Linked DNA regions of Tamandua tetradactyla. The protein of the gene in region 1 interacts with the protein of each later gene in a pairwise test. Links are inferred from orthologs where the notes say so. Each region holds a gene or a part of one and is shown on either strand. Other genes may lie near its edges.

What was found.
Region 2: the proteins of EMILIN1 (region 1) and protein BEX3 interact in binary tests that used the Homo sapiens proteins (3 or more experiments, as listed by UniProt). The two-hybrid records come from large-scale screens. The link is inferred for Tamandua tetradactyla from reciprocal best matches to the Homo sapiens genes EMILIN1 and BEX3.
Region 3: the proteins of EMILIN1 (region 1) and ZC2HC1C interact in binary tests that used the Homo sapiens proteins (3 or more experiments, as listed by UniProt). The two-hybrid records come from large-scale screens. The link is inferred for Tamandua tetradactyla from reciprocal best matches to the Homo sapiens genes EMILIN1 and ZC2HC1C.
Region 4: the proteins of EMILIN1 (region 1) and MTMR9 interact in binary tests that used the Homo sapiens proteins (3 or more experiments, as listed by UniProt). The link is inferred for Tamandua tetradactyla from reciprocal best matches to the Homo sapiens genes EMILIN1 and MTMR9.

Annotation. Positions count from the first base shown.
Region 1 is NC_135329.1:10,850,855-10,857,889, reverse strand, and holds the start of EMILIN1 (EMILIN-1), read right to left. Parts: upstream 3,007-7,035; 5' UTR 2,646-3,006; coding exon 2,476-2,645; intron 1,525-2,475; coding exon 1,399-1,524; intron 913-1,398; coding exon 692-912; intron 1-691. UniProt on the Homo sapiens protein: Involved in elastic and collagen fibers formation. It is required for EFEMP2 deposition into the extracellular matrix, and collagen network assembly and cross-linking via protein-lysine 6-oxidase/LOX activity.
Region 2 is NC_135353.1:70,565,454-70,572,192, forward strand, and holds protein BEX3, read right to left. Parts: upstream 2,066-6,739; 5' UTR 1,932-2,065; intron 1,518-1,931; 5' UTR 1,444-1,517; intron 1,102-1,443; exon of another isoform or gene 1,099-1,101; 5' UTR 1,079-1,098; coding exon 752-1,078; 3' UTR 515-751; downstream 1-514. UniProt on the Homo sapiens protein: May be a signaling adapter molecule involved in NGFR/p75NTR-mediated apoptosis induced by NGF. Plays a role in zinc-triggered neuronal death.
Region 3 is NC_135338.1:34,146,125-34,153,361, reverse strand, and holds the start of ZC2HC1C (zinc finger C2HC domain-containing protein 1C), read right to left. Parts: upstream 3,006-7,237; 5' UTR 2,646-3,005; exon of another isoform or gene 2,522-2,645; intron 2,469-2,521; exon of another isoform or gene 2,349-2,468; intron 1-2,348. Other genes in the region: ACYP1 (acylphosphatase-1), read left to right, coding at 3,418-3,509.
Region 4 is NC_135329.1:32,776,377-32,784,154, reverse strand, and holds the start of MTMR9 (myotubularin-related protein 9), read right to left. Parts: upstream 3,009-7,778; 5' UTR 2,097-3,008; coding exon 1,915-2,096; intron 1-1,914. UniProt on the Homo sapiens protein: Acts as an adapter for myotubularin-related phosphatases. Increases lipid phosphatase MTMR6 catalytic activity, specifically towards phosphatidylinositol 3,5-bisphosphate and MTMR6 binding affinity for phosphorylated phosphatidylinositols.

The DNA.
Region 1 (7,035 bases):
TGACACTGTCAGGAGGAGCAAAAAGGGAGTGGTGGAGGCACGCTGGATACCACGAGGCTGTTATTACTGGGAGGTGCTTCCCCACAACACCATGGGGACAAACAAGGCAAGCCTGCTGGGGCTCTAGCTGGGTGGTCAGAGTTAGCTGGATGTGCCTTTTCCCCTGATTACGAGGACTGCTATCTCTCTTCTAGGGAAACAGCACATCCGGAGTGCCTGGCACACATGCAAGGGAAGGCGAGCCTCAGGGATGGCGGCATTGTGGGACCCGCAGTCTCCAAAGGCCACATTGGGGCCTGGGACCTGCAGTCAGCCGGGATGCATGCTAGCACTTGCAGTGTCAACTCTTTCCCCAAGGACAAAGCTTCTCTAAGGAATCCCCTCTTGCTCTTGCAGCTCTTCCCAGCAAGGAAGTATCTTGATCACACATGGGAGCGTGTGAGCATGTGTGTGTGTGTGTGCGTGTGTGCATATGTGCATCCACATACGAGCTCTCTCTCTCTTCCCCTCCCCCTTCCTTCTGCTTTTCCCTCTCTTCCTCTCTCTCACATGCAGGGAACCTCAGGGATCTCACTGGCTCCCTCTGCCCCTTTCTTCTGACTTAGGGCATGGGGTTTTCTCAGCAGCTCAGCCCCACAGTTCCCGCCCAGGGTCGTCCCCCACTTCTCTCTCCAGCAGCCCCCATACCCACCTTCTCCCCCGAGCCCGCTGAGGTGGCTGCCCGCACTGGAGCCGGAGAGGTTGGGGCGGCCGGGCCGGGGCTGGGGGCGTGGCGTGGTAGTTGCCGGACCCAGCTCAGGGGCAGGCCCCTCCCCACAGTCATCACCCGTGTAACCCTGACAGCACCGCCACTCCATATCCGTCACTGTTTTGTAGGCCACACGGTAGCGAGGGCGGAGGAAGCTGCGGTACCTGGGAGAGGCAGAGGGGCCCTTTTGTTTCTCCCTGTCCTGTCTGTGGCCCTGGCCCCTGTCCTCAGGTGAGCAGCTGCTGGTGCCAAGGCCTGTCCCTCAGGCTGGGACCCTGAGTGTCCAGTGTGTCGCCTCACTCAGTTGACAGCTGTCAGCCTGTTGGCCAAGGGCCAAATGCCTGCTCTTCCCCTCACTATTGCCCAGCTCTGGAACCTTGTGTTTTTTTCCCTGAGGGTGACCCAGCCCAGAGATGTCAGTCCCCCGATCCCGAGATGGTATTCAGGGGCTGGCAGGGTGGGTGCCTCGGCCTTCCGTGTCCCAGCAGCCAAACTACTGCCTCAGCATCGCCTCAATATGGCTCTGATCTAGGCCCTGCCCCTTGCTACCTGCTTTGGACGAATTCTGAACTGGCCCCCACCTTCTGCCCCTCTCTGAGCCCCTACCAGGTACCCCCTGTCCCAGCCCAGCCCCTGGCATGGGAGCTTACATGATGCTGCGGGGACACTGGGGCTGGCCCCAGCCACAGGGTTGGTAGTCAGGCTTGATGAAGGTCTCCACTCCGTCCTCAAGGACGCAGCTCACTGTCCGGGTCACCACATAGGCACACCAGTTCCTGCAGGGACAAACCTACGTGGGCCTGAGGACTGGAGACACGCCCCAGCAGAGGGCCCGGGGGCTCCCCGAAGGGCTGGGTCAGGGTCAAAAGATGAGGGGCCCTTGGGGACTGGCGAGACCTGGGGTTTTGGCAGGACAGTTCCCCCTGCCCCCCACGCCTTCCTTTATGCCAGGAGCAGATAAAGACTTTTCAAGATGTGGAGAGGCATGGAATGGAAAGGCACAACCACAGAGAAGTCAGTCCGCCTGGCTGTGGGGTCCTTGGGATTCTCACACACTCATTTGTGTCCCTTTCTGGCCTTGTCTCAGTCCCCAGCTTGATAGGCTATGTGAGAGTCAGCTCGCGGGAGCCTGTGGGTGACCCCCTGGACGCTGGCTTCCCCCCGTTCCATGGGGGACAGGGTGGGGCAGTCCAAGGCCCAGCTCAAGGCAAGTAGGTAATAAACCCTATCCCCCTTGGGGCCCACAGTTCACACTCAACCTTGTTCGTGCTGGCCTGTGTGGCTGGAGAGCCGAAAGAGGCAGAGCGGAGTGGCGTCAGGGTTATGGATTACGGGATGGGCCTAGGAAGCCCTAGAAAGGGACAAAGGTCTGCCCAAGGCCCCTGGGCCGGTGGCCTCCCAGCCGCTGTCAGCCAGGCCTGGCCCGCATCCCTCAGGGTGGCTTTCCTGGGCGCTAACTGCAGGTCTCTGTGTGGGGGCCCAGGGACTGGTCCCCCGATCCCCCGACATCAACGGGGAGCCTAGACGCTCAGGGGACCCAGGAAGCGGCCCTCACGAAGGTAATACGTGAGCAGCCAGCTGATGGGCGGCTTTGCTCTCGCCTCCCTCCCCTGCACCAGGGGATCGTGTCCCTGGGAGAGGGGCAGCCGAGGTGGTGGCCCATGTGCCCACCTTCAATCAGCCCTTCCCACCCATCTCCGGCCTCAGGCTGGGGCCCAGCGTCCTACCTGTGGCGGCTGGCGGGCCGGGGGGCGCTCTGGGCCTGGGGCCCCCCAGGGCCGAGGGCCCCACCGGCTCCAGTGTAGAGGCTGTAACCGCGAGGTGGGTAGCTCGCGGCCCCTGCAGCTGTGGTCAGCAGGCAGCAGAGGTAGCAGCTCCAGAGGGCGCTGGGGGCCATGGTGGGGGTCACTCCGTGGGGGTCCTCAGAGACTCATCCCGGACCGGCCGCCTGGCCGCTGGCGCCTCTGCCCAGCCCCTGGGGATGCTGCGGCTCCGCGGGACAGAGCGCGCCGGCCCGGCCCCGGCTTCCTGTCGGCGCCCCAAGCCACACGCCTCCTCCTTAACAGCCTGGCCTGACCCCTCTCCCCCTCCTCTCTCCTCCTCAGGCTCCTGTCTGTCCCTCCCTCGTTCTTTCCGCTCTCCTCTTCTCTGCTTCTGAGGGGAGTTTGTTCTCTGTGCCCCCTGGCCTCCCGCGTCTGGTCCCTGCCCCTCGCGGATGCTGCTTCCTGGGCCTCCGCCCCCTCGGCCCAGCTGGCCCTCCTCTGGTCTCTCTGTCCTTTTCCCCCCGATGACCGGATCCTGAGGGTGACAGGGCTTTGCCCCTGTGGCCGTTCAGAGGCTCGAGAGTGGCTGTAGGGCGGGCCCTGGCCTCGGGCCACCCTCCCTTGCTTACTCTCCTCCCTTCCCCCTGTCTGGCTGGCGGTTCAGCCCTCCCCTCCTCCCCCCACCTCTCCAACCATCGCACGCCACATCTGCTTCTTGTTAACTTCGGGAAAGAGGGGGGGAAAAAAAGGAAAAACAGAGAAACGTGGAGTGGCTGTAGGGCTTGGGGCCAGCTTCACAGACGGACCACATGGAGCGGGGGTGAGAGCTGGGGTGGAGGCCTAGGGCTGGTGGCTTAGAAGGGAGCAGGAGCTGGAGCCACAGCTTTCCTGGGCAAGGGCAGGCCCCTCCTGGGAGATAGGACCCAAGACAGGAGCCAAGAGGGGGGAGGAGGTGGGGAGGCCTGTAAAAGGGAGAATGAATTTCTTGGGCTCAGCAGGACATCACTCACCATACAGTCTCCTTTTATAGATGTGAATGCTAAGGCTCAGAGGGGGAGGGTAACTTGTCCAAGGTAACACAGCTAGGCAATAATCGGGCTGACATACCCAGGTCAGGGACTAGGGAGAAAGGAGGAGAGAGTAGGGCTCATGGGCGAGGGAGGAAAAGGTAAAGGACTCCACTGAGACAGTCAGGAAATCCAGAGAATACAGAGGAGGAAGAAAGGAATCTGGAAATGGGGGAGCAGTCTCCTGCCAAGCAGTGGAGAAGAGAAGAATCTGATTCTTAAAGGGCCAAATGAATATGGGGTCTAGGATTGTGGTGGTGAGGAAGGCCAGGCCATAACTGAGGGGGCAGAGGTGGGTGGAGGTGACTAGGGACCTTTCTGTATAGCACCAAAGGAAGTCACTCACTAGCCTGGAGGCACATCTGACAGCAAGTACAGAACTCAGTCATATCCAACCAGCTGCTTGCCCTGAAAGCTCCTTATGGGATGCTTGAATCTAGAAGATTGCCCCGCATTTACCCGCTGGCCCTCGTTGTTGTGTCCTGGACCAGGGTCTCCCTGTGTGGCAAGACGCTGGGGAGAGAGAAGCTGGAGCACTGGACAGAAAGGACACGAGGGAGCATCGGGGCCCAGTGCCGTGGAGGTCCCTAGGGGACAAAGGCCTATTAGACCCGGTCGCTGTCTACCGAGTTGCTGTTGGAGAAAGGGAACCAACACAAGGCGGGCAGGGCGCACTGAGCACCAGTTGGGCAGGCCAAATGGATGGGAAATATTCTGGGTAGAGGAGGGAGAAGATAGCTGCTGTTAGCAGGACTCTGAGAAGAGCTATTGGAAAAGAGAAAACCTCAACAGTATTGGAAAACAGAAATTAAAGAACGGAGAGGAGGGGAGTGGAGAAATTTCAGGCTTGGGGAAAAGTCTGCCTCTGTTTTCTTGTCTGTAACATGGGAATAATAACAGCATCCTCCTTCCTAGGTTTGTGAGGATCAAGTACGTTGTCCATGTAAAACATTTCTAACAGTGCCTGTCAGACAGCAAATACTCAGTAAATGCTAGCTCTATTTGTGTCAGAAAAAGATGGGGTAGGAAGAGAGGTAGATTGTGAACAAATTGAGAAAAGGCTCAAATGCCGGTTAAGAGCTTAGATTGCAAGTTTCTGAAAAGGGAAGAAACACAGAAAGAAGAAGGAATTATCAGCAAGAGTCATGAACGGGGTATCTGAGCTTGAGAATGCCGATCCCAGTTCTTCCTCTACCAAGCAGTGTAACTTTGGGCAAACCCCATGAATCCACTGAGCATGGTTTTCTTATATGAGGAAGGACCTGTCTGTCTAAGAATCCTTCCGAATTCTACATTGCAAAGTGATGCAGATTTGGGCTCCAGTGGTGATAGCAACCATGGAAAGGATGGGAAGGCTATGACTGCTTGGTGATCTCCTGAGTAAGGAGGGACACGATGAGGGCAGACACCAGAGAAGTTTCCAGGGTTTGAGCCAGGATGGGCAAGTCTGGAAGAGGAGCAGGTTTGGAGGAAAGAAAGATGACCTTAGCCTGGGCATCTGAGTTTAAGATGAAGAAAACACATCCCATGGGAAATAAATGTGCAGGAGATGGTTAGAAATACGAGCCTTGATGCTGGGGACCATTTGGAGGGACTATCGTTGAAACCATGGGAATGGATGCTACTGGATCTTCAACATGACCCAGAGATTTCCCCCTGAGTCCAGAAAGTGACTCCGATGGCTGGGAGAAATTCTGGCGAAAAGACAGGAGATGGAAAAAGTAAAGGTTGGAACCAACAGCAATGGACATTTGCAGCTGCCCCTTAGAGGTTTGGTAATCAGCACACAGGGAGACCTGAAGGAAATGGTCACAGGAGATTTTGGTCTCAAAGGAATTGTTAGTGGAAGGTTGCAACTTTGTCCATAGTTTCTGCATCAGTGCTAAGCCCTGACCCTGGCCCTGGCAGGAAGCCAGCCTACTTCCCCTCAAATTGCCCTGGCTGCTGCTATGGGTTTTCTTTCCCTCATCTTCCCCATTTCCTTGCCCATTAGGGGGCCTCTGACAACCTGAAAAGTTATGCCTGCCATCTTGTCACTGCCTCACTGTCACCCACTCCCTAGCCTGTTCCCTGAAGTTTAAAAATCTGTTGTACATTTTAAATGTCTTGGGTCAAAAATGTTGGCTTTGAAATATAATTGTGACATGCTACATTTCATTGAGACTTGTAATTAGGAGCCAAGACCTAGGAGCTGACATAAATACTTGTGAGATCTCAAATAAATCAGTGGCTCCGGGTTTTCACTGGAGAGGGCAATTCCCATTGCTGGCTTGAGGTGTGGGCAAGCAGGTTGCAATGGCGGCTAAGAGCGGATGAAAAGCAATGGTGGTGGTATTGGCAGGCAGACACAAATTTCCAAAGCAATTGGCAAGAGAGTTCCTGAGACCAAAAAAGACTTCATCCCTGGAGCTCTAGGACAGGATCTATTTTATAACCTCTCCAAAATGGGGGATTTCCAAGATTCTAGTGCCAATGGGAAATCCTGGTCACACGGAGAAATAAGCCTATATTTCCAAGGTCAGGACAGACAGGGGGTACCAGTAAAAAGGAGCATTTTTGTCTAATGGTCTCTCTCAGAGGACTTAATATCAGAATAAAAGGGGAATAATAAGAATTGGACCTTGGGGCAATGCCAACACAGAGGGGAATTCAAGCTCTTGGGCACTTGGGCAAAAGTTCACTCTTCCCCAAATGTTTATGTTTTCCTTTTCCTTCCAACCCTCACCCATAAGTACAACATTTTAGGAGCAGACATCCCTGGACCCAGGGTCCAATCCCCTTTTCCCCAAGTCTTGTTGCTTTTTCACTCCTGAGCCTAATCCTGGCCTCTATCCTCTCCTGGAAACTGTCATACTAATCCCAGAATCCCAGAGATTCAGCTCCACAAGTGTCTCCTCCTCAATTCGCCCCAAGGCCCTGTCTGGGATGAGGTTCTGCCTGTCTCACTTCCCACACACTTTTCCACCCAAGCTTGTTTGAAGCTTTTTCAGTTCTCTCAGTTGAGCCAAGTTCAGTCTTGGAGATTATTTTTTGTTTCAGTTTCTCCAGGCCCTAGGCCAAATGACCCATTGAAGGCCAATAAAGACTTCACTGGCCTAGGCACAGGCAGTCCGAGAGGTGAAGGACATTTCTGAGTGGTTCTAAAACAAATCCTTTTCCTCTTGTCCCTGACTCTAGAACACCTGTCTGACATGGAATCTTAAAAAGAGGAAAGAGGAGGCGACACTTGGGTTCTAGCCTTGGTTCTGTTGCTAACCAGTTGTAGAACCTTAGTCAAATTAATGGCCTTCTGAGCCCCAGTTTCCTCCTCTATAAAATGATAAAGTCCTCCTTCAGCTCTGAGAAGCTAGGTCAGTTGGTTTCAGGTCAGCCTGAGGAATCTGAAGCACTTCCAGGGCCTTCCCTCAAGTCATTTACAGCCTAGAAATCCTGCTTTCCAGGGTCAGCCTAGAGGTTA
Region 2 (6,739 bases), on another chromosome or scaffold:
ACAGGACCCAGCAGAAGAGAAAATATGCCCAAGTGACATGATAGTAATCAGGGTAGCAGGAGATTGCAAATATCAGGAGTGGTATGGTGGAACGCACCTTTTTGCCACCTAGCCTTGGGAGCACAGGTGCAAATGGCTTTTAATCCTCCCCAATTAACTGATGAGGTCCAGGGTCCTCGTAAATGCTGGGGATCTGGATAAGAGTCAGCCTAAAACAGTTCCACACCTCATCTGTTCTACTCAGCAGCCCTGTAAAGCAAGCATTGTTCCCTATTTCACAAAACAGAAGACTAATCCTTTAGAAATACATCTGTAGTAATGGATGAATTTATTCTGCTGAGTAAAAAGGCTGGAAAAGACTTAAGGTTTACTCTATTTTAAATATGCTGAAGCAGTATTTACGCAGAAATGTGCCCCAGCCAACACTCTGGTGTATTTAATTTCAGATTTTTTGCTTCATATTTGTTATATAGAAGTATACATGTTTTTAATGAGACAATAATAAATGTATAGATTGCTTTTTAAATTGCTTTATTAATTTTACATCTTTCCATGCAAACAGGTGAAAATCGGCTGGCAGATTTAGACTGGGTGTAAAGGCAACCTCCAACTAGAAACTGGTAGCACAAGGTCCACTGACTTGGAAATAGCGTTAGATTCACAGTAAACAGATCAGAAAAGGCATACCAGGAAAATGCAAAGAAAAAGTCAGTGGAAATCACAGTATTAATCTCATGGATAATGGCAAAAGTCAAGGCATAAGGCAAAATTCATCATGATGGTCATGGTGATTAGAGAGTTCTCCCATAAGGATACGCAGACAATTCCTTAACTGCAGCTCCCTAAGTTTTCTCCTGATTTCTCTCATTTCTTCCATGAACATTTCCATATCATCTCCATCTCCACCCATCCCATCATTGACCTGCCTATTGGGTATGCCCCATCGAAAATTAGGGACAAGTCGGCGAGCCTGTCCCTGTCTATTATTTGCTGCAGGTGGCTGGCCTTCGCCCTGGGCTTCCTCTCCATTCTGCATCGGCTGTTCCATTTCTTCGTTTTCCTGGTGGATATTTGCCATGAAGAGATTTTTTTTCTGGTCTTCTTTAAACGGAAGTAGGACAAATGCAAGAACAGAGACTAAATGCATTATGCACGGATCAACAGGCCATAGAGCCCTGGATATCAACGGTTTTTAAATTTCATTTTTCCCACCTGAGAGAACTTGTACGCCCTCTAGGGAACTACCAGCCCAAGTCTCTCCTTTCCACTCCCCCATCACCCCTCCCTTCCCCAAAGCCCACCATTTTTTCCTACATATCAGCTCCAGGATTCCGCAGGCACCAAAATGGAGGACCTGGGTGGGGGTGATATGGGGTTTTGGGAGGGGGGGTCTCAGACTGGCCTCGACATTGCCCCGCCCCCAACACGGTCCCTCACACCGACCTGGGCCTATCCTGGCGGTATCTTCTTCCTCCGGATTCTCGTCCTGACCGTCAGGCCCGCAGACCTACAGTTGGCTGGGATGAGGGGAGCGAGCGGGAGGTCTGCTGCTACCGAGCGCTTGGCACGGGCTCGCTACCACCCAGCGCCTTCACAGACACCTCCTCGCCGCTATCGCCCACGTCTCCCGTCTCCACCCTCAGCCACCCCACTCCCCGTACTCCCCACGCAGTGTTCGCCTTTTTCCAGCAGGGACCCCGGGGGAGGCGACTTCCCATGTTTCTCTTGGTTGCTCTGTTGCTCTCCCTGGAATACCAGCCTTTCTGCACTCTCCCATCCCACCAGGGGCCACCATTTCTGTTCCCCCAAATGCCTGGGTGTGTCGGGGTGGAAGTTGGCCAGGAACCCTGCGCTGTTTCCCCCTGTGCCCGCCGCTTGGGTCAGCAGGCGGCTGCTGCAGCGCCACAGCTCGCGGGTCCCGGGACCCTTACCTGCCCCGCTTTGCCCGGGCCGGATGCCAGCCCGCTGTGCGCCGGCGGCACGGAGCTAGTTCCCAGACGGGAGTGAAGACTGCACTGAAAGCTGCGTCACTCTGCAGCTCCTGGTCACGTGAGGGCCGTGCGACACCGCCGACCCCCAACCCCCACCCCGGTGGAAGGGCAGTGCAACATGATACCTCTCCACCGCTTCTCCTTCCCTCCACCCTCCCCCTCTCCACCACAGGCACAGGCACAGGCACCCCTTCGCGCCTCTCTGAGCCAAGGTGTCCCAGCGCATAGCCCCGTCAGTCATCTTGGTTTTCTCCAATGGAAGAGACCACAAGAAGTAACACAGCAGTGCGCCCACAGCCCTTCTCTGGTTACCAGGGAAGGTCTGCATCCCATCGTGAGGCCTGTGGTCTTGCCTTTTATTTTATTATTTTTTTAATGTGGCAGCTTTATTTATAATATGCAAAAACTGTAAACAACTAACACATCCTTCAGTGGCTGTATGGTTAAACAAATTGGTACCATGGCATACTACTCAGCGATTAAAAAGTGATTAAAAAGAAGGAATTATTGATACCCAACAACTTGGATGACTCTCCAGAGAATAATGCCCACTGGAAAAAAAGTCAATACCAAAAGATAACATACTATATGATTCCAAATATGTAACGTTCTTAAAGTCAGAAAAATTATAAACATGGAAAACAAATTGCCAGGAGATGAAGAGGTGAAGGAGGGAGAGAAGTGGGTGTAGATGAAAAAAGACAATAGGATGGAAATTTGTGGTGATTGTAAGGTTCTATATCAATGTCAGTTTCCTGGCCGGAGATTTTACCACTTGGGGAAAAAAAAAACTGGGTAAACGAACACAAGATCTCTTTATTTTTTTTTTTTACAGCTACATGTGAAGCTACAATTATCTGAAAATTGAAAGTTTAACTTCTTTTTTCTATTTTTGGCATGGGCAGGCTCCAGGAATCGATCCTGGGGCTCTGGAATGGCAGGTGAGAATTCTGTCACTGAGCCACCATTGCACCACCCTAACTTCATTTTTAAAATGACACGTAAAAAAAAAAAAGATATAAAACTAAAATTATATATACATACAGACACATATTTGTATGTATGTATGCATGTGTGATTTATGTTTATTACCAGGTTTTTCACCCTCTTAAATATTTAAATGTTTTTATTACAGAAGTTGTAGATTGTGCTGGTTTGAATCTGTTATGTACCCCAGAAAACCCTATGTTCTTCTAATCTATTCTTCTGGGTACAGAACTGTTGTGGGTAGGACCTTTTTGGTTAGGCTGCTTCCAAGGAGATGTGACCCACCCAATTCAAGGTGGATCTTAATCTTTTACTGCAGTTCTTTAAGAGAGCTCACGGAGAGTGAGCTTAGAAAGAAAATGCTGCAGGAGAAGCTAAGAGATAAAGAAATGTCCAGAGACATTTTGGGGAGAGCTCAGTGAAAAAAGATGACCCAGGGGAATCCAGAAGGACCCATATAAGCTGATAGCACCATTGAAACCAGAACCAGGGAAGAAGGGCCAAAAAACATCACCATGTGTCTTCCCACGTGACAGAGGTACCCTGGATGCGGCAACCTTTCCTTAGAGAAGGTATCTTACTCTTGGTGCCTTAATTTGTCTTGAATAACAGTGGTGACAGAGGGCATCCTTGTCTTGCTTCCCCTAATCTTTTGGGGAAAATTTTCAATATTTCATCATTGAGTAAGATGGTGCCAGTGTGTTTTTATATATAAGCTTTATCATTTTGAGGAAATTTCCTTTTATTCCTGATCTTCTAAGTGTTTTTATCTGGAAGAGGTGCTGGATTTTGTCAAATGCCTTTTTTTTGCATCAATTGTTATGATCATGTATTTCTTTACTTTGTTCTGTTTATGTGATGTTATACATTAATTGATTTTCTTATGTTGAACAACCCTTGAATACCTTGGATAAATCCCACTTGATCAAGGTGTATAATTCTTTTAATGTGCTGTTGAATTTGGCTTCCTAGTATTATGTTAAAGATTTTTGCATCTAGATTCATAAGGGATTTTGGTCTGTAATTTTCTTTTCTTGTGGTATCTTTAACTGCTTTTGGTATGAGGTAATATTATGGCATGTTTCATCATTTTCAATTTTTTTGTAAGAGTTTGAGCAGAATTGGTGTTAATTCTTCTTGGAATGTGTTCTAGTTTGCTAGCTGCCAGAATGCAATATACCAGAAACAGAATGGCTTTTAAAAAGGAGAATTTAATAAGTTGCTAGTTTACAGTTCTAAGGCCGAGAAAATGTCCTAATTAAAACAACTCTATAGAAATGTCCAGTCAAAGGCATCCAGGGAAAGATACCTTGGTTTAAGAAGGCCAATGAAGTTCAGGGTTTCTCTCTCATCTGGAAGGGCACATGGCAAACATGGCTTCATCTGCTAGCTTCTTCTCCTGGCTTCCTGTTTCATGAAGCTCCCTGGGAGGCATTTTCCTTCTTCATCTCCAAAGGTCGCTGGCTGGTGGACTCTGCTTCTCGTGGCTATGTCATTCTGCTGTGCTCTCTCTGAATCGCTCTCATTCGCCAAAATGTTTCCTCTTTTTATAGGACTTCAGAAACTAATCAAGACCCAGCCAAATGGATGGAGACACACGTCCAGCTATTCCAGTTTAACAACCACTCTTGATTAAATCTCATCTCCAGGAAGATGATCTAATTACAGTTTCAAGCATACAATACTGAGTAGGAATTAGAAGAAGCAACTGCCTTTACAAAATGAGATTAGGATTAAAACATGCCTTTTCTAGGGTACACACATCCTTTCAAACCAGCACAGAATGTTTGATACAATTCCCTTGTGAATCCATCTGATCCTGGACTTTACTTTGTTGAAGAGATTTTTGATTATTGATTCCATCTCTTTACTAGTTATTGATCTGTTGAAATCTTTCATTTCTTCTTGAATCAATGTAGGTAATTTTATGTGTTCCTTTGAATCTGTCCATTTCATCTAGGTTATCTAATGTGTTACAATACAGTTGTTCATAGTATATTCTTAGGGTCCCTTTTATTTTTGTGGGGTCAGTAATAATGACCCCCCCATTCATTTATTAGTTTTGCTATTTAACCTATCTTTTTTCTTTGTTGTACTATTCTACCTATTGTTTATTGTTTTTATTGATTTTTTCAAAGAACCAACATTTGGTTTGGTGAGTCTCTCTATTGTTTTTTATTCTCTTGTTCATTTATCACCACTCTAATCTTTGTTATTTCCCTCCTACTGCTCACTTTGGATTTAGTTTGCTCTCCTTTTTCTAGATCCCCTGGTTTTGAATTTAGGTCTCTGATTTGAGATCTTTATTCTTTGATGTAGGCATTTAGAGCTATGCATTTTCTTCTCAGCACTGCTTGTGCTACACCCCATAACTTCTGGTGTGTTGTGCTTTCATTTTAATTTGCCTCAAGATATTTATTAATTTTTGTGATTTCTTTGACTCATTTGTTGTTTATTTTAGTTTTCTGATGTTGCTAGAATGCAATATACTAGAAATGGAATGGCTTTTTTTTTTTAACTTGGGTAGACACCGGGAATTGAACCCAGGTGTCCAGCATGGCAGGTGAGAATTCTGCTGCTGAGCCACCATCGCACCGCCCTGATATGGCTTTTAAAAGGAGAAATTATTAAGTTGCAAGTTTATAGTTCTAAGGCCATAGAAATGTCCAAAGTAGGGTATCCAGAGAAAGAGACTATAACTCCAAAGAAAGGGCCGATAAAGTTTGGAGTTTTCTCTCTCTGCTGGGAAGGCACATGGTGATGTCTGCTAGCTTTCTCTCTTCACTTCATAAGGCTTCCCAGGGGGTTTCCTTCTAATGCCTGAAGATTTCTGTCTTTGTGGGCTCTTTTGGCTCTGAAGCTTTATCCAATATAGCTCCCTCTTAAAGGGTGCCAGTAAGCAACACCACCTTGAATGGGTGGAGACACATCCCTATGGAAACCATCTAATCAAAAGTTACCACCCACAATTGGGTGGGTCATATCTCCATGGAAACATTAAAAAAGATCCCACCCAGCAATATTGCATGAGGATTAAAGAACATGGTTTTTTGAGGTACGTGACAGTTTCACACCAGAACATTGTTTAAGAGTATGTCAGTATAGCTTGTTTGTGTGTTTCCAGGAATTTGTCCATTTCCTCTTAGTTGTCTATTTGTTGGCATACAGTTGTTCATAGTATCTTCTTATGATTGTTTTTATTTCTTCAGGGTCTGTGGTAAAGACCCTCCTCTCATTTCTGATTCTGTTTCTTTGCATCCTCTCTCTTTCTTCATCTGCCTAGATAGAGGTCCATTGATTTTAGATACTTTCTATTGTTCTTTTGTTCTTCAATTAATTTAATTCTGCTTTAATCTTTGTTATTTCTCTTCTTCTATTTGCCTTGGGGTTAATTTGTTGTTCTTTCTCTAGTTCCTTCAGGTGAGCAGTTAAGTTGTCAATTTTGGTTCTTCTTTTTGATTTTTTTTTTTTTTTTTTTTTGCATAGGCAGGCACCGGAAAGTGAACCCAGGTCTCCAGCATGGCAGGCAAGAACTCTGCCTGCTGAGCCACCATGTCTCACCCTCTTCTTTTTTAATATAGGCATTTATAGCATTAAATTTCCCTCTCAGCACAGCCTTTGACACGTCCCATAAGTTCTGATATGCTGTCTTCTCATTTTCATTTGTCTCCAGATAGCTACTGATTTCTCTAGCAATTTATTATTTGACCCACTGTTTGTTTAAAGGTGCATTATTTACTCTCTATATATTTGTGAAAGTT
Region 3 (7,237 bases), on another chromosome or scaffold:
ATAATGTAGTCAGCAGTGGTCAGTGTTACTACATTGGGTTAGAAAGAAACTCCTTAGTGCCTTCCAGGGAAATCCTTTGAATCCTTGGATTCATTTCCAATTGACTCTCTATTGCCTTCTCCATATATGCAGTCCCAGACATTTTCCATTCTTCCCAAGGTCTCAGTCATCTCACCAACGGGCTTCCTGCCTATCAACTTCCACATCTTCCCTTGACTCTGGTAGAGTTCCCTAGCATCTTGACTTCCTTCCCTCTTGTTTCTGAGGAAGCAAGGGCTCTCTCTTTCCATGTGCACTCTTGAATTAATCCTTTTCAGTACCCTCCTGGACGGCTCCTTTAGCCTTCCATCTTGTTAACTTGAATTTGTCCCTCTCGACATACTCCTCCTTCTCCTTGGTTTTCAAATATGCTTAACTTTCCCCTGCAAAACAAACCTCATTTCTAGCTACTCTAAGATACTGGAGACTAAAAGAGATATCAATTTAATGATTCAGCAATCATAGTCTTTTGTTAAATCCGATCTTCTCTGTATAACTCCATCATCACCTTTGATCTTTCTGTCCCATTCTTTAAGGGTATTTGGGCTATGGCCATCTAACTTTTTCATGTTGGAAGGGACTGTTAATAATATGGGACAGGGGAATGGAACTAGCTGATGTTCTAGAGAGGCTGGATTCTCTAGGCTTCAGGACTTACCTGGTCCAGTGACCCATCTGGAGGTCGTAGGTTTCTGGAAGGTTACCCTAGTGCATGGAACCTTTGTAGAATCTTATATATTGCCCTAGGTATTCTTTAGGATTGGCTGGAATGGTTTTGGTTGGGGTTTGACATTATAGGAAGCAATGTCTAACTGACGTTTGCATACAAGCAACCTCCAGAGTAGCTTCTTGACTCTATTTGAACTCTCTCTGCCACTTATACTTTATTAGTTACACTTCTTTCTCCCATTTGGCCACAATGTAATGGTTGATCCCACAGTGCCAGGGCCAGACTCATCCAGGGACTCATGTCCCATGCCACCAGGGAAACTTTCACCCCTGGATGTCATGTCCCATGTAATGGGGAGAGCAGTGTTTTCACTTGCAGAGTTGGGCTTAGAGAGAGTGAGGCCACATCTGAGCAACAAAAGAGGTCATCCAGGAGTATCTCTTAAGCATACCTATAGGTAAACTAAGTTTCTCTGCTACCTACATAAGCTTCACAAGATCAAAGACTTGGCCTGTTGATTTGGGTGTCCCTAAAGTGTGACACAGTATCAGGATGGGAATTGGTATTTTTAAAGTTTCCCCAAAGATCCTAATGTGCAGCCAGGGTTGAGAATCCCTGGTATAACCACAACTGAATGTTTGAGTCTCTCACCTCAGTGCTAATAACTTAACCCAAGCTTCACATCCTGGGAGGTGGTAGAGTGTATAGTTTATAGGAGTGGGCTCTGAACTCATACTTCTGGGACTAACTTCCAGCTCTATCATTTACTGGTTGTGGTTGAGTAATCTTGGATAAAATGTTCCTTTCTCCAAGAAGCCTCTCCCAATTTTTCCAGTCAGATTTAATCTCTTTGCTCCTTTGTGATCCCATAATATTTCTGTCCATAATATTTTCTGACTGGCTCATGATGAGCTGTCAGTGGATGTTTGTGTAATTGAATTACGATGATATGCATTGTATTGTCATTATTTGCATACATATTTGTCTTTAACACTAAATTTAAAACTCTTTGAGGGAAAATATTATATGCCATTTATCTTTGTATATCCTACGTATCCTGCACCTAATAGATTCTATTGTTTTTTATTCTATAGAAAAAAATTGGTTTAAAAATGAATTTTAGAGAAAGAAATAACATTAGCCAGGTACTCTGCCTAGGTTTATTCTCAAATATTGCCAAGCACAAGATTCAGTCTAGGTCCCTTCCAGCATTAAAATTTTATGCTTCTTTAGGATCTGGATCCTCATGGCCACCATTGTAAGCCCATATCTGCAAAATCATAGCTAAATCTGCCACTCTAACCTAACATAACCATTCACATATGAAGGGTCAGGTTATGGAGAGAGGTAATGTATATAAGCAATTCGAAGAAAAGTGATAAACACAGTTTCCCTTCACAGTATTAATCCCAAGGGTCACTGGCTGAGTCTGAAGACCCACAAGTAGTGCCTAATTTTAACCATTCTAACCCAAAACTCCCCTGGACAATTCCCTTTTCCCAAAATAAATTCATGCAGTTTGGTCGTTTCACTTTGATTGATTCAATTGTGATTCTGTGAAGTCATTAATTTTTTTTTTCCTTTCTCCCTCCCGCCCTCACTCCCTCCTTCCCTCCTTCCTTCTCTGGTTGGTGGGCAGCTTCCAGAAGCGCACAAGGGAGAAACAACTTCCACTGGAACCTCCCGTACATTTCTCCTGCTTTCAATTCCAGGCCTAGGCATGACCTAAAATTGGGGAGAACTTAAAAAGAGCAGAAAGGTTGTATACATTCTATTTAATTTATTTATTATGTTTAATGTTTAATGGCTGTATCTCACCTCCAGAATTTAGGCCGGGCAAGCCAGGGATCCTGTCAGTTTTGTTCACTAATGTATGCCAACCACCTCTAGGTTCTTACAGTGCCTGGCATACTCTTGGCTCTTAGTAAATACTTACTGAATGATTAGTTGTATCCTAAGTGCTCCTTCGTCGATGTCTTTATCCTCATGAGAAAAGGGGTGCGCTTAGTGAGTGAGGCAGAGTGAAGGACCACTCTGGAGTCCGGACCCTTACAGATCTCCAATTCCAGCATAGCTAGCGCTCTAAAGACCACTGCTTCGGGAAGTCCCACCCTCTAGGCGGGCTCTGGGCATAAGTATGCCGTCTATGATTGGCTGGGCTTAGATGATGGACATGAGAGACAACGAAGGAAGAGCCACGCTGTAGGTTTCCGGGCGTAGCGTGGATTCCGCTAGGGGAGCCGTTGGCGTTGGCGTTGCTAAGGGAGGACTTCGGGTCTTGTGAGGAAGTCGAGGAGGGTGACCCTGGGACGCGGCTGCGGGCAGTGCGGGTGAGTGTAGTTAGTTCTAAATTGTTAGTAGAGGGGGATTCTGACGGCCGTGTGGAAGCCGGGTCGGTGGACAGGAGAAGGGGGTGGGAGGAAGCGGGACCGGATGGATGGAAGGAGGTTATTGGGTAAGAGGCCTCAAAAGAGTTGTCTGTGGACAGTTGCGACCCGAAACTCCCATGCCTCGGTGTCTTCTCGTTATTTCACACGTACGCTCAAACACATACCCATTTACTTACTCTTCGAAGATCCGGGACCTAAAGGTCGGAGAGAGGTCGCAAGTGGATAAGGATGAAGAAGTGTGCGTTGTGGCCTTTTCTGCTCTAGGTTGGGGAACCTGGTTATAGTCCTTTACTTTTCTGCTTTCCTTGTATCTGACAGGTTTGAGTATGGCAGAAGGGGACACCCTGATATCAGTGGATTATGAAATTTTTGGAAAAGTGCAAGGAGTGTTTTTCCGCAAATACACTCAGGTATGTGCTGTAGGCTTTGGGGATAGCAGGTTTTGAGCCTGGGAACGAGAGACAGGTGCCTAACAAATATCAACTAGAAGAAGCTGGTTATTTGGCAGCTGCATGGCAGGTAGGTACTTTGTAGAGCAGTGGGTATGAAAATGCTTTGCAATGGGTAAAACTGTGTAAATGGAAGATTCTGTGGTTGTTATTGTTGGTCTTTTTCTAACAGTACTTCAGTATCTAGAATCACATATCACATGCTTCTTTCTTCCCTGGGGGAATAGAGAGCTCCCCCAGTCCACTCTGTTAAGGCTTCATCAACCCAACTCACATTTCTTGTGAAAAACTAACATTGATGGAAGAGATGGCATTTATGTAATTTATGTAATTGCTTCCTCCATAGCTGCTGCATTCTTTAAGACCCCTTTTACCTCACTTCTCTAACATCCCCCCCTTTCTCCATTTATTAATTCCTTTCTTTTCTTTTTAGCTTTGAAAAAATAATGACCTTTCCCAGCTGAAGCTTTTCTAATGAAAAATGCTTCATCCATTTCAGGATAGGCTTGTGAGGTCTGCTATTCCTACTTGAGTATTAAGGAGTGATTGAGGAGAGAAACATATTTATTGGCAGCCTCTACCTCTGTAGTGTCACTAATTTCCCCTCAGCCATGCAAAGACAAATGCAATCTCAATTCCCATTCTGCCTTCTGTAGGGTGAGTATTGGCTATTGCCTTCCCAATATATCAATATATTTTCAATATCTCTTTCCGATTACTTGCAAATTGTTTCCTCCTATTTCATACTCATATATGAAGCACCTGTTAGAAAAAGAATTGTTGAAAGTTGTAGCAAGACCTGTGTTCCCGTTGTTTATGCAGGATAAGTTCCTATAGTTTAATGAATGGAGGTGATGGCTTCAATGATAAAGTAGTAGAGGGAAAAGATCTATAAGGGGCACAATTGCCCCTCTTCCTCTTACTCCTCCTCTCCCATTTAGGGGGAGAATAAAGGAATGCAGAAGAAATAATGATTTGGAAAACTGCAAGAAAAAAAATCACTTTTTTTCTTAGACATAGCTTATTCTTACTACTTATAATCATTTAAATATATATGTTCATTTTTAACAGTTAGCTTTGTTTTGCTACAATCTGTAAGTTCATATCATCTACCATCTTTTTTACCATTGCTGTACTAGTGGGTATGAAGGGATATCTCTTTTTTTTTTTAGAGAAGTTACAGATTTACAGAAAAATCAACAGAAAATAAGACTTCCCATACACTGTCCCCCTTCCCCACTATTAACAGCTTGTGTTCGTGTGGTACATTTGTTACAATTGATGAAAGAATATTATTAAAATTTCACTATTAACTTTATAGTCCATAGTTTACATTAAAGTTCCCTGTTTGTGGTATTGTATTTAATTGTTGGTCTAGTAGCATATATTCAAATATATAATTCAGTGCTGTTAATTGCATTAACAATGTTGTGCCACCATTATTACCATTCATTACTAAAAATTTTCCATCACCTTAAAGAGAAATTTTGTACAATTTAAGCATTAACTCCCCTTTGCCTACCCCCGCCCTGGCCCCAAGTAACCTCTATTCTGATTTCCGACTCTATGAATTTTCTTATTCTAATTATTTCTTATCACTGAGATCACACAATGTTTGTCCTTTTATGTCTGATTTATTTCACTCATAATGATGTCTTCAAGTTTCATCCATATTGTCGCATGTATCAGAACTGCATTCTGCTTTATGGATGAATAATATTCCATTGAATGGCTATACCACATTGCATTTACCCATTTTTATTATTTTGAAAATGTTAGCCATTCTAGTGGGTGTGAAATGGTTTTGATTTGCATTTCCCTAATGGCTCTTGATGTTGAACATCTTTTCATGTGTTAGCAATTTGTTTATCTTCTTTGGAGAAATGTATATTCAAATCCTTTGCCCATTATTTTAATTGAGTGATTTGTCTTTTCATTGTTGAGTTGTAAGAATTCTTCATATGTTCTAGATACTAGTCCCATATCAGATAATGATTTACAAATATTTTTTCCCATTCTATGAGTTTTCATTTCATTTTCTTGATAACATCTTTGAAATGCAAAATTTTAAAATTTTGATGAAATCCAATTTATCCAATTTTTCTTTGTTGTTGCTTATGCTTTTAGTGTTACATGTAAGAAACCCTTGCCTAATCCAAGATCATAACAGTCCATGCCTATGTTTTCTTCAAGAATTTTATAGTTTTAGCTCTAAATGTATAGTTTTAATAAAATTAACCTATTTTAAGTTCATTTTTATATGTGGTGTAAGAGAGGGATCCAAGTTCATTCTTCTGCATGTGGATACCCAGTTTCCTGAGCACCATTTGTTGAGATTGAAAAACGCGTTGAATTGTCTTGGTGCCCCTGTCAAAAATCAGTTGACCATAAAGATAAGAACTTATTTCTGGACTCTCAATTCTATTCCATTGATCTCTATGTCTTTCCTTTTGCCAGTACCACACCATATTGATTTTGTAGGCTTGTTGTAGGTTTTGAAATTGGGAAGGGTGAGTCCCCTAATATTATTTTTTTACAAAATTATTTTGGCTCTTCTGGATTCTTTGCATTTCCTTGTAAATTTTAGAATTAGTTAATTTCTGCCCCCCCCCCCCCCAAAAAAAAGGCATCCTGGATATTGATAGTGATTGCATGGACTCTTAGGTCAATTTGGGGAGTATCTTCACAGAATCAAGTTTTCCAATCCATGAACACAAGATACCTTTCCATTTATTTAAGTCTTCTTTAATTTCCTTCTATGGTATTTTGTAATTTTCAGCATGTAAGTCTTAAACTTCTTTTGTTAACTTTATTTCTAAATAGTTTATTATATTTGATACTATTGTTAGTGGAATTGTTTTCTTAATTTCATTTTCAGATTGTTCATTGCTGGTTGTGATAGTTAGCTTCTAGTGTTAACTTGGCCAAGTGATGATGCCCAGTTGTCTGGGCAGGCAAGCACTGGGCACAGTTGCTGCAAGGATATTTTGTGGCTGATTGATAACTGGAAAGCTGGTGTATTAAATCATAAATCAATTGATTGCTTCTGTGGCTGATTACATCTGCAATCAACTAAGGTGCGTCTCCCACAAAGGAGATAATCAAATTAGTTGAAGACTTTTAAGGAAGATGAGAGACTCTTTTCATTCCTTCTTCAGCCAGCAAGCCTTTCCTGTGGAGTTCATCTACACCCTTAATCGGAACTGCCAGCTTCACAGCCTGCCCTACCGGGTTTTGTACTCTTCCATTCCCATGGTTGTGTGAGACGCCTTTATAAATCTCATATTTATAGATATCTGCTGTTAATTCTATTACTCTAGAGAACCCTGAGTGATACAGGTTGGTCCCAGGAGTGGTTCTTGAGAAACAGAATCTTAAAAATGGGTTTTTACAATTGGTTTTCTGCTCTGGTTAGACTCAAAGGATTGATGAATGGCACTGACAGTCCATGGGGTGAGTTGACAAGAGAGATACGCAAATTATCACCATTAGATTCTGTTAATTGTATCCTTATATGAGGCAAGACTCTGGATGAGAGTGTTTTTGACACCTTTATGGAGTTTTGTGGAATTAAGAGGAAAATGATGTTGGCTGGTTGTTGTTAAATATTCTGGATACAGTGATTAGGGAAAGGGATGAGCTGAAGTCTTCAAATTTACAACTTAAAGGCAGTACGAATGATGTAAAAA
Region 4 (7,778 bases), about 22 Mb from region 1:
TGGAGTGACGCAAGTGATCTACAAATGATTAAGGTGATGAATACACAGCTATGTGATGATGTTGTAAGCCATTGATTGTATGCCGTGTATGGACTGTATGTGTGTGAAGATTCCTCAATTAAAAAAAAAAAAACGAGAGAGAGAGCTGAAGATAATGGAGAGATTACTAATTAGTATTCTATGGCACAGTGACAGTTCTGTGGTCAATCCTTTCCCTATTTCCTATGTGCCTACCTGCTCAAGCCATGGTTAGGAGTTCTGCAGGAGATACAAATGTGAGATGTAAGTCTTGGCTTCAACAAGCTAAAATATACGTAAACATTAAAATACAAATTTGAAAATATACTTTTTTTTTTTTTTGCATGGGCAGGCACTGGGAACCGAACATGGATCTCCAGTGAAAATATACTTTTGAAAGAGGTATAATTTAAAGAGCTATAGGATTTTAAGGTAAGGGGAACTATTTCCAGTTGTAGGATTAATGGAAAAATCTGTGAAGGAGATGGCATTCAATTGGCTAAACTGAATATTGATAGATGGGTAACAGAAGGATCATACCCTATGAACGCATGAAAGGCAAGAACTGTATTTCATTCATCAGGGTGTCCTTAGTGCCTCACAATATGTCTGGAACAGGAAGGCATTAAAAAATACTGTTTTATACATTTGGGATGAGTAAGGGCATTCCAGGCAGAAAGAAGAGCATGAGAAAATGCTAGGCATGTGTGAGCAACATTAAATAGTGAGGACTGGCTAGTAAAAAGGGTTCAAGAATGGAAAAGACAAGGGTTCATGAGAGGGAATGGCAAGAAATAAGGTGGGAAAAGTAGGTTAGGGCCAAAACATGGAGTGCAATCAATGACAGACTACAAAATTTAAACTTTATTCTGCAAAAACAATGAGAGACCAAAGAAAACTTTCACACAGGAAAACATGACCCGAGGCGTCTACTAAAAGCACTCTGTTTGAAAAATAAATAAATCCACTGCACCTTTACCCATACTGCATGGATTTCCACCATTATAAATTATTTTATTTTGAGGCACAATCTCACCAGAAATCCTCATAGTACCCAAATTCTCCTGAGAATAAATAGAAAAAGCTGCTGTCATTCATTCATTCTTAGTGTAACAGACATCAGGGAACACTGTGATACACTGGGATGATATTTGGGAAATGGTAATTTTGACTTCTAATGTAAGCATAACTTTTCATCTCTGAGACACTGCCTTGAAAAGATAGCTTGGAGTGCAAAGAGGTTAATTACTTCATGCTTTTGTTTAAAAGCCAATTCTTTCCTTTCCAAAAACAAAACTGAATAAAAATGAATAGAAGAAATTACAATCTCCCTCAATGGAAAGTATTAAATTAATGGTCAGGAAGGTAAAAAATAATAAATGTGACAAACTGAACTCTTTTGAGAAAAAAAAGAGAGAGAAAAGCAGTTTCATGGAATTCAGACACCCTGATAACCATATATTTTAGTTCTTGCAGTTTTCCTCAGTGGAAGGTGGTAAGCAAAGACTACCTAAAATCACACTGAATCACAACTTCATCAACTGCGATAAAAAATAACTCTTCAAGAAAATACGATTGGACAATGACAATTTAAAAAGAAAAAGTTGAAAATCCAAACAAATAGATTTGCACCAAAAACAGTAATCAAGATGATAACCACTTGAGAAGCCTGTGAATTCCACTGAGTTAATAGAAACCAGGTATCCTGCTTGGATGGTTTTGTTTTCTGTTTTGTTCCCTTTCTAAAATTCAAACCTTGAATCTAGGCCAGAAAGAGCACATTTTGCTGGCTGGTCTGACAATGAGACGCAAGGAAAACACCGGGAAGCGTGCCTTTAGGCGTCCACCTAACGCCCTCTGGTTCCCGTGAAATAGGCAGGTGGGATGGGCACTCACCGCTTGTCGATGGCGTCTATGTTTGAATGGAGGAGCCACAGCTCCTCCGTGTTGTCCTGCCTGGAGGAGAGGATCAGGTGGTGGCCCGTCAGACACAGAGTTCCCTCGACGGCTGCATAGAAAGGCCGGTGCAGCACCACATTGTCCACCCGCGGGGTCTTGATCAACTCCACAAACTCCATGTCCCCCCAGCGTCCGCAGCCAGTGGACTGCCGAGTCCTGAGGTGCTGCCACACCGCCGCAGGGCCGAACAGGAGAATGACCCAGCCCTGGGCTTGCCGGAGGGGCGGAGAGCGGGGCGGGGAGGTCGGGCCCCGCCCCAGGCTGGGGTGGGCGCGGCGAGGCCTGCGGCCACGGTCACTGACCGCGGGAGGACCGAGGCTGGGGCTGGGCCAGTCTCGCCCGCACTTCCCGTTTCCCCGGGCTCAGGACTCGACCACAGAGAATGCCCCGCAGCAGGGCCAGCGGCTGCCGCCCCGACACCTGGAGGCCCCGGCCTCTGGTGGACAGGCTAAGGCGAGGAGGAGGCCGTTTTAGAAGCAGCTTCTAAGGCCGAGGCTGGGAACTCCTGGCGGAAGTAGCTGTTGGCTGCACGATCCTGGAGCAACTCCGGGCGGAAGCGGCGGAGCCCAAAACTCCGAAGACAGAGAAGGCAGAGCAGGAAGTCGAGCCCCAGCTGGGTCCGATGAAAATGCTTCCGGCAAGGCAGCCAGATCCGAAGATGTGTGGTCCTACAAGGAAAAAGCTTTTCTTTGCCTTCACATGCTACGCTCCTAATATGCCTTATCGGAAAAGGCCCAGTAAGATGGAGCGGCGAGACAGGTCCTGTTCTGCCTCCTTCCACGTGAGTAGCCCCTCTCCGCCGCGAAGGACTTATCAGAGCGAGGGGTCGCGGTAAATGGTGGCGAATTTCATCCAGTCGCCACGAAGAGAAGGCAGGTAGAGGATCGGATCAGCGGTTGTGACCCGGGAGAAGCTGCCAGGTGTGAGGGATGGGACACAGGGCTGGACGCCGCCGACTCACTGAGAGCTCCGTGCCACAGCTGCAGGACCTTGAACCCGAAAAAGGAAAAGCATGCAAATACCTGCTAGGACCGAGAGAGACATAACACACAATGCACAGAAGAGGAAGTGATTAATTCTATCCTATGAGAAAACCGCAAGTGACTTGCTAAAGGCTATGAAATCCAAGGCTAGTTAGTGTGTTCTGATTGCTCCACCTCACAGCCTCACCATTAAATACAATCCAGCTAAGCCAGATGCCCCAGTTATGCCGAAATTTATTTAAATGATTTCTCCTTGCTTGCTCTCCTCCCCCTTTAAACTAATACTTTAATTCTAAAAGAGGGAAGGGGGAAGAGGGGATACGCAAGGGTTTGAGTCCTGAACTGCTGTCACTTCATTAATCTTTGAAACCCTCACCATAGTACCTGAGAAGAGTTGGCCAAAGTCTTAGTTTTCGGACCCAAAGTAAATTGTCACAAATTCACATGAGATCACCCAACACTTGTCCCCACTTTTGTTCTTGTCTTTGGTAACATGTTCCAATCTTTAATCATGTTAAAAGATTGTTTAGCTGAGTCAAGTTTAGTTTAGCTTGTTTTCTGCAAACGGAAAACAGAAAACAAGAGAGAAGGGAGAACTGGAATTTTTGTCTTCCTTCTTTTTTGTACTTATCAATTCTGGAAGGGAGAATTTTCCCTGAACACTCAGAGAAAAGCTTTATGGAAAAGGTAACATTTGAAAGGATAACGCGGAAGGATGAATCAAATTTATACTCTAAATGAAATGTGACCAAGGTAGATATCCAATTTAATGATAGCTATGTAGGAAAGATTTTTTTCATGAACTTTTCCTTTTAATTTTCCTGGGGAGGGGGATCCTATGAAAAGAACATCATGTCATTAAGTAAAAAATGCTTAATCTTCTATAAAGCCAAAAACTTTTTTTACCCACGAGAGAAAATTAATATCACGCTGTATTGTTATAATGTAACACTGGCAACTATTAGAAAATTACTTCTACTGTGGGTTGAAGCTCAAAGCAAGGAAAGCCCTTGAGGTTTGGGGAAAACAAAAATTCAGTAGTAAAGAATAGAGCCTGGAGGGGGTGGGGGAAGAGTACAAAATGTTACTTTACTTTACTATGTGGACAGTAGATGGCAGTCAAGTTTAACAGTAATGAGATGGGTTTCCATTCTATTAACATAATTCAGTGAAGCTGTAATCAAGCACATTATTGTCCGAACTGCCTGGAAATAAGTGTCTCAGAAGATTCTGATAATCTAGGGAAGATGATGGCATTTATAATGCATGTGAAGCACTTACTCAGAACCCTACACATATTAAATTTTTACCATCATTCTGAGATAACAAATGACATTGATATATGATCATCTAGATGTGATGTTGTTCTATCAAATAATCAGCTAGCATTTATTGAGTACCTACATGGTTATCAGCACTGTAGGGACTGAAAACAGTGGATCTAGCATGACCCTTGCCCTTAAGGGGCAAAAGCTAATTTTGAAATGTTAATGCACCCAAAACATCTAATGAACAAAAGAAGAAAGATTACTAAAATAGTACTATTAACTATTGTCCATAGTTTACATTGTGTATATTTTCCCCCATGGACCACCCAGCTACTAACACTTTGTATTAGTGTGTTATATTTGTTATAATTCATGAAAGAACACTCTTATACTTGTACTATTAACTATAGTCTATTGTCTGCAATAGGGTTCATTGTGTTATACAATCCTATGTTTTGTCTTTTAATTTTTAATTCTAGTAAGATATATGACCTAAAGTTTCTTCTTTTAACCACATCACCTATATGATTCAATGTTGTTAATTAACCCTCACCATAATGTGCTACCATCATAACCATCCATTTCCAAACATTTACAATCAACCTAAATAGGAATTATGTATAAATTAGGCATCAGCCCCCATTCTCTACCCCCAGTCTACTGACTGGTGATCTATATTATAGATTCTGACCTTATGAGTTTGCTTATTCTAATTAGTTATCAGCGAGATCATAGAATACTTGTTGAGCCGCTTTGAAAATATTATGTACCCTAGAAAAGCCATGTTTTAATCCTGACTCAATCTTGTGGAGGCAGCTGCTTCTTTTAATCCTCATTCAATACTGTTGGGCAGTAACCTTTGATTAGGTTATCTCCAGGGAGAGGTGACATGCCCGATTGTGGGTGTGACCTTTTGATTACATGGAGATGCGACTCCACCCATTTCAGGTGGGTCTTGATTAGTTTACTGGAATCCTTTAAAAGAGGAAACGTTTTGGAGAGTCAGAAATGACAGAGCTGACAGAGCGAGAGAGAGAGAGAGCCAACAGAGAGAGTGGAGACATGGATGTTTGGAGATGGTTGGAACTAGCAGATATTGCTGTGTGCCTTCCCATGAGATGTTAAGCAAGCCAGAACCTGGAGAGAGCCAAGGGAAGCCAAGAGATGAAAGCCAGCCCCAGAGAAGCAAAGTGTGGGACCCCCATAGAAATAGAGGCTGAAAGCAATGGAGCCCAGGAGCAAGGGACCAGCAGATGCTCCAAGTGGCTTCCCAGCTGACAGAGCTGTTCCAGACCAACAGTCTTTCTTGAATTAAGGTGTCTTTTTCTGGATGCCTTAGTTTGGATGTTTTTATAGGTTTAGAACTGTAAATTTGTAACTTATTAAATTCCCCTTTTTAAGAGCCATTCCAGTTCTGGTATACTTCAGGCAGCTTTCAAATTACACACTTGTCCTTTTGTGATGGCTTCTCTTAGCATAATGTCCTCCAGATTCATCCATGTTGTTGCATGCATCAGAATTTCATTCCTTTTTATGGCTGAATAATATTCCACTATATGTATATATACCACATTTTGTTTATCCATTTATCTGTTGATGGGCACTTGGTTTGCTTCCATCTTCTGGCAATTGTGAATAATGCTGCTATGAACATCATTATAGAAATATCTGTTTAAGTCCCTGCTTTCTATTCTTCTGGGCAAAAAAGTAGCAAATGGAATTGCCAGGTCATATAGTAAATAGCTTCTTCAGGAACTGCCACACTGTCTTCCACAGCAGCTGCACCATTTTACATTACAATGAATAAGTGTTTTTATTTCTACACATCCTCTCCAGAACTTGTTATTTTCAGCTTTTTTTTTTTTAATAGCAGCCATTCTAGTGGGTGTGAAATGGCATCTCGTTATGGTTTTGATCTGCATTTCCCTAATAGGTAGTGATACTGAGCATCTTCTCATGTGCTTTTTAGCCATTTCTATATCCTCTTTGGAGAAAGATCTATTCAGGTCTTTTGCCCATCTTTGCTTGGGTTGTGGGTCTTTTTATTGTTGAGTTGTAGGGTTTCTTTATATATTCCAGATAATTAAACCTTTATTGGATATGTGGTTTCCAAATATTTTCTCCTATTGCATTAGTTTTCTTTTCACTTTCATGAAAGTCTTTTGATGTACAAAATTTTTTAGTTTTAATGAGGTCCCATTTATCTATTTTTTTTCTTTTGGGTATAAAGTCTAAGAAATCATAGCCTAACACAAGATCCTAAAGATGCTTCCCTATATTTTCTTCTAGGAGTTTTATAGTCCTGGCTCATATTAAAATCTGTGATCCATTTTTTGTTAATTTGTGTATATGGTATGAGATAGCAGTTGTTTTTCATTCTTTTGCATGTGGATATAAAGTTCTCCCAGCATTATTTGTTGACGAAACTATTCTTTCCCAGTTAAGTGGACTTGGCAACCTTGTCAAAAATCAATTGGCCTTGGATGTGCGGATCTGTTTCTGAACTCTCAATTTGATGCCATTGGTCAATATATTGATCTTTGTGCCAATACCATGCTGGTTTGACCACTGTAACTTTAATATGCTTTAAAGTCAGAAAGTGTGACAGGAAGAATAACACACAAACAAACAGTTGGGCAGAAACCCAATGACAATACTTCTGAGTGCAAAAGCCCAGGTCCTTTCCATTACACTAATTTAGATTAGACTTATCTTGCACTGCTTTTGAATGTTATGATTCAGAGCCTTTTCCTCTGAACTTTGGATTTTAGGAAAAAAAGAGCTTTTCTAAACTGAGGAAAGGAAGGCTAAAATTTCATTGTACACAGCCACAAAATGAAAGCTCTGAGGATACTAATATGATCAGTGGGCCCTATGTTCAGCTACTGCATTCTAATAGCCACATCCTCTATGTCTGCTTCCCATAGCTCAGTCATTGAGCCACTTCATTTTTTACCACAATGAGAACAACAGGAACCTAGCACCTTCGAAAAAAGTGATGAAGTGGGAACGAAGAGGGCCTGTCCAGACAGTATTGCTATGTAATAAAACAACTCCCCAAACATGCTGACTTAAAACAACATTCATCATTTGGTTGCTGGAGCAGAAACGATGGAGAAGAGGGAGGGCTGAAAGAACGAGGGGCTGGCCAGGCATCTCTCTCTGCCTCCTTCTGTGCTCTCAATGCTTCTCCCTGTGGCCTCTCCTTGGGAGGTAGTTTGGTATTCCTTCCAGTATGATAGCCCCAGGGCAGTTGGACTGCATACATGGCAGCTGAAACCTTCAAGAATGAGCATTCGTAGACGCTGCATCATCTTTTATGACCTAATCTCAGACATCCCATAATGTCACTTCTACTGTACTCTCTTTGTCTAAGCAGACACAAAATCCCATTCAGTTTCAAGGGGAGGTGATACTGACCCCATATCTCAAAAGGAGAAGTGTCAAAGAAATTGTGCCCCAGAAACTCTGTTGATAGTGGGGCAAATGTGTGTATGAACTTAACCTCCCCTAAAAAATGGGCATCTGGAAAGAGGAATAAAGAAAATAT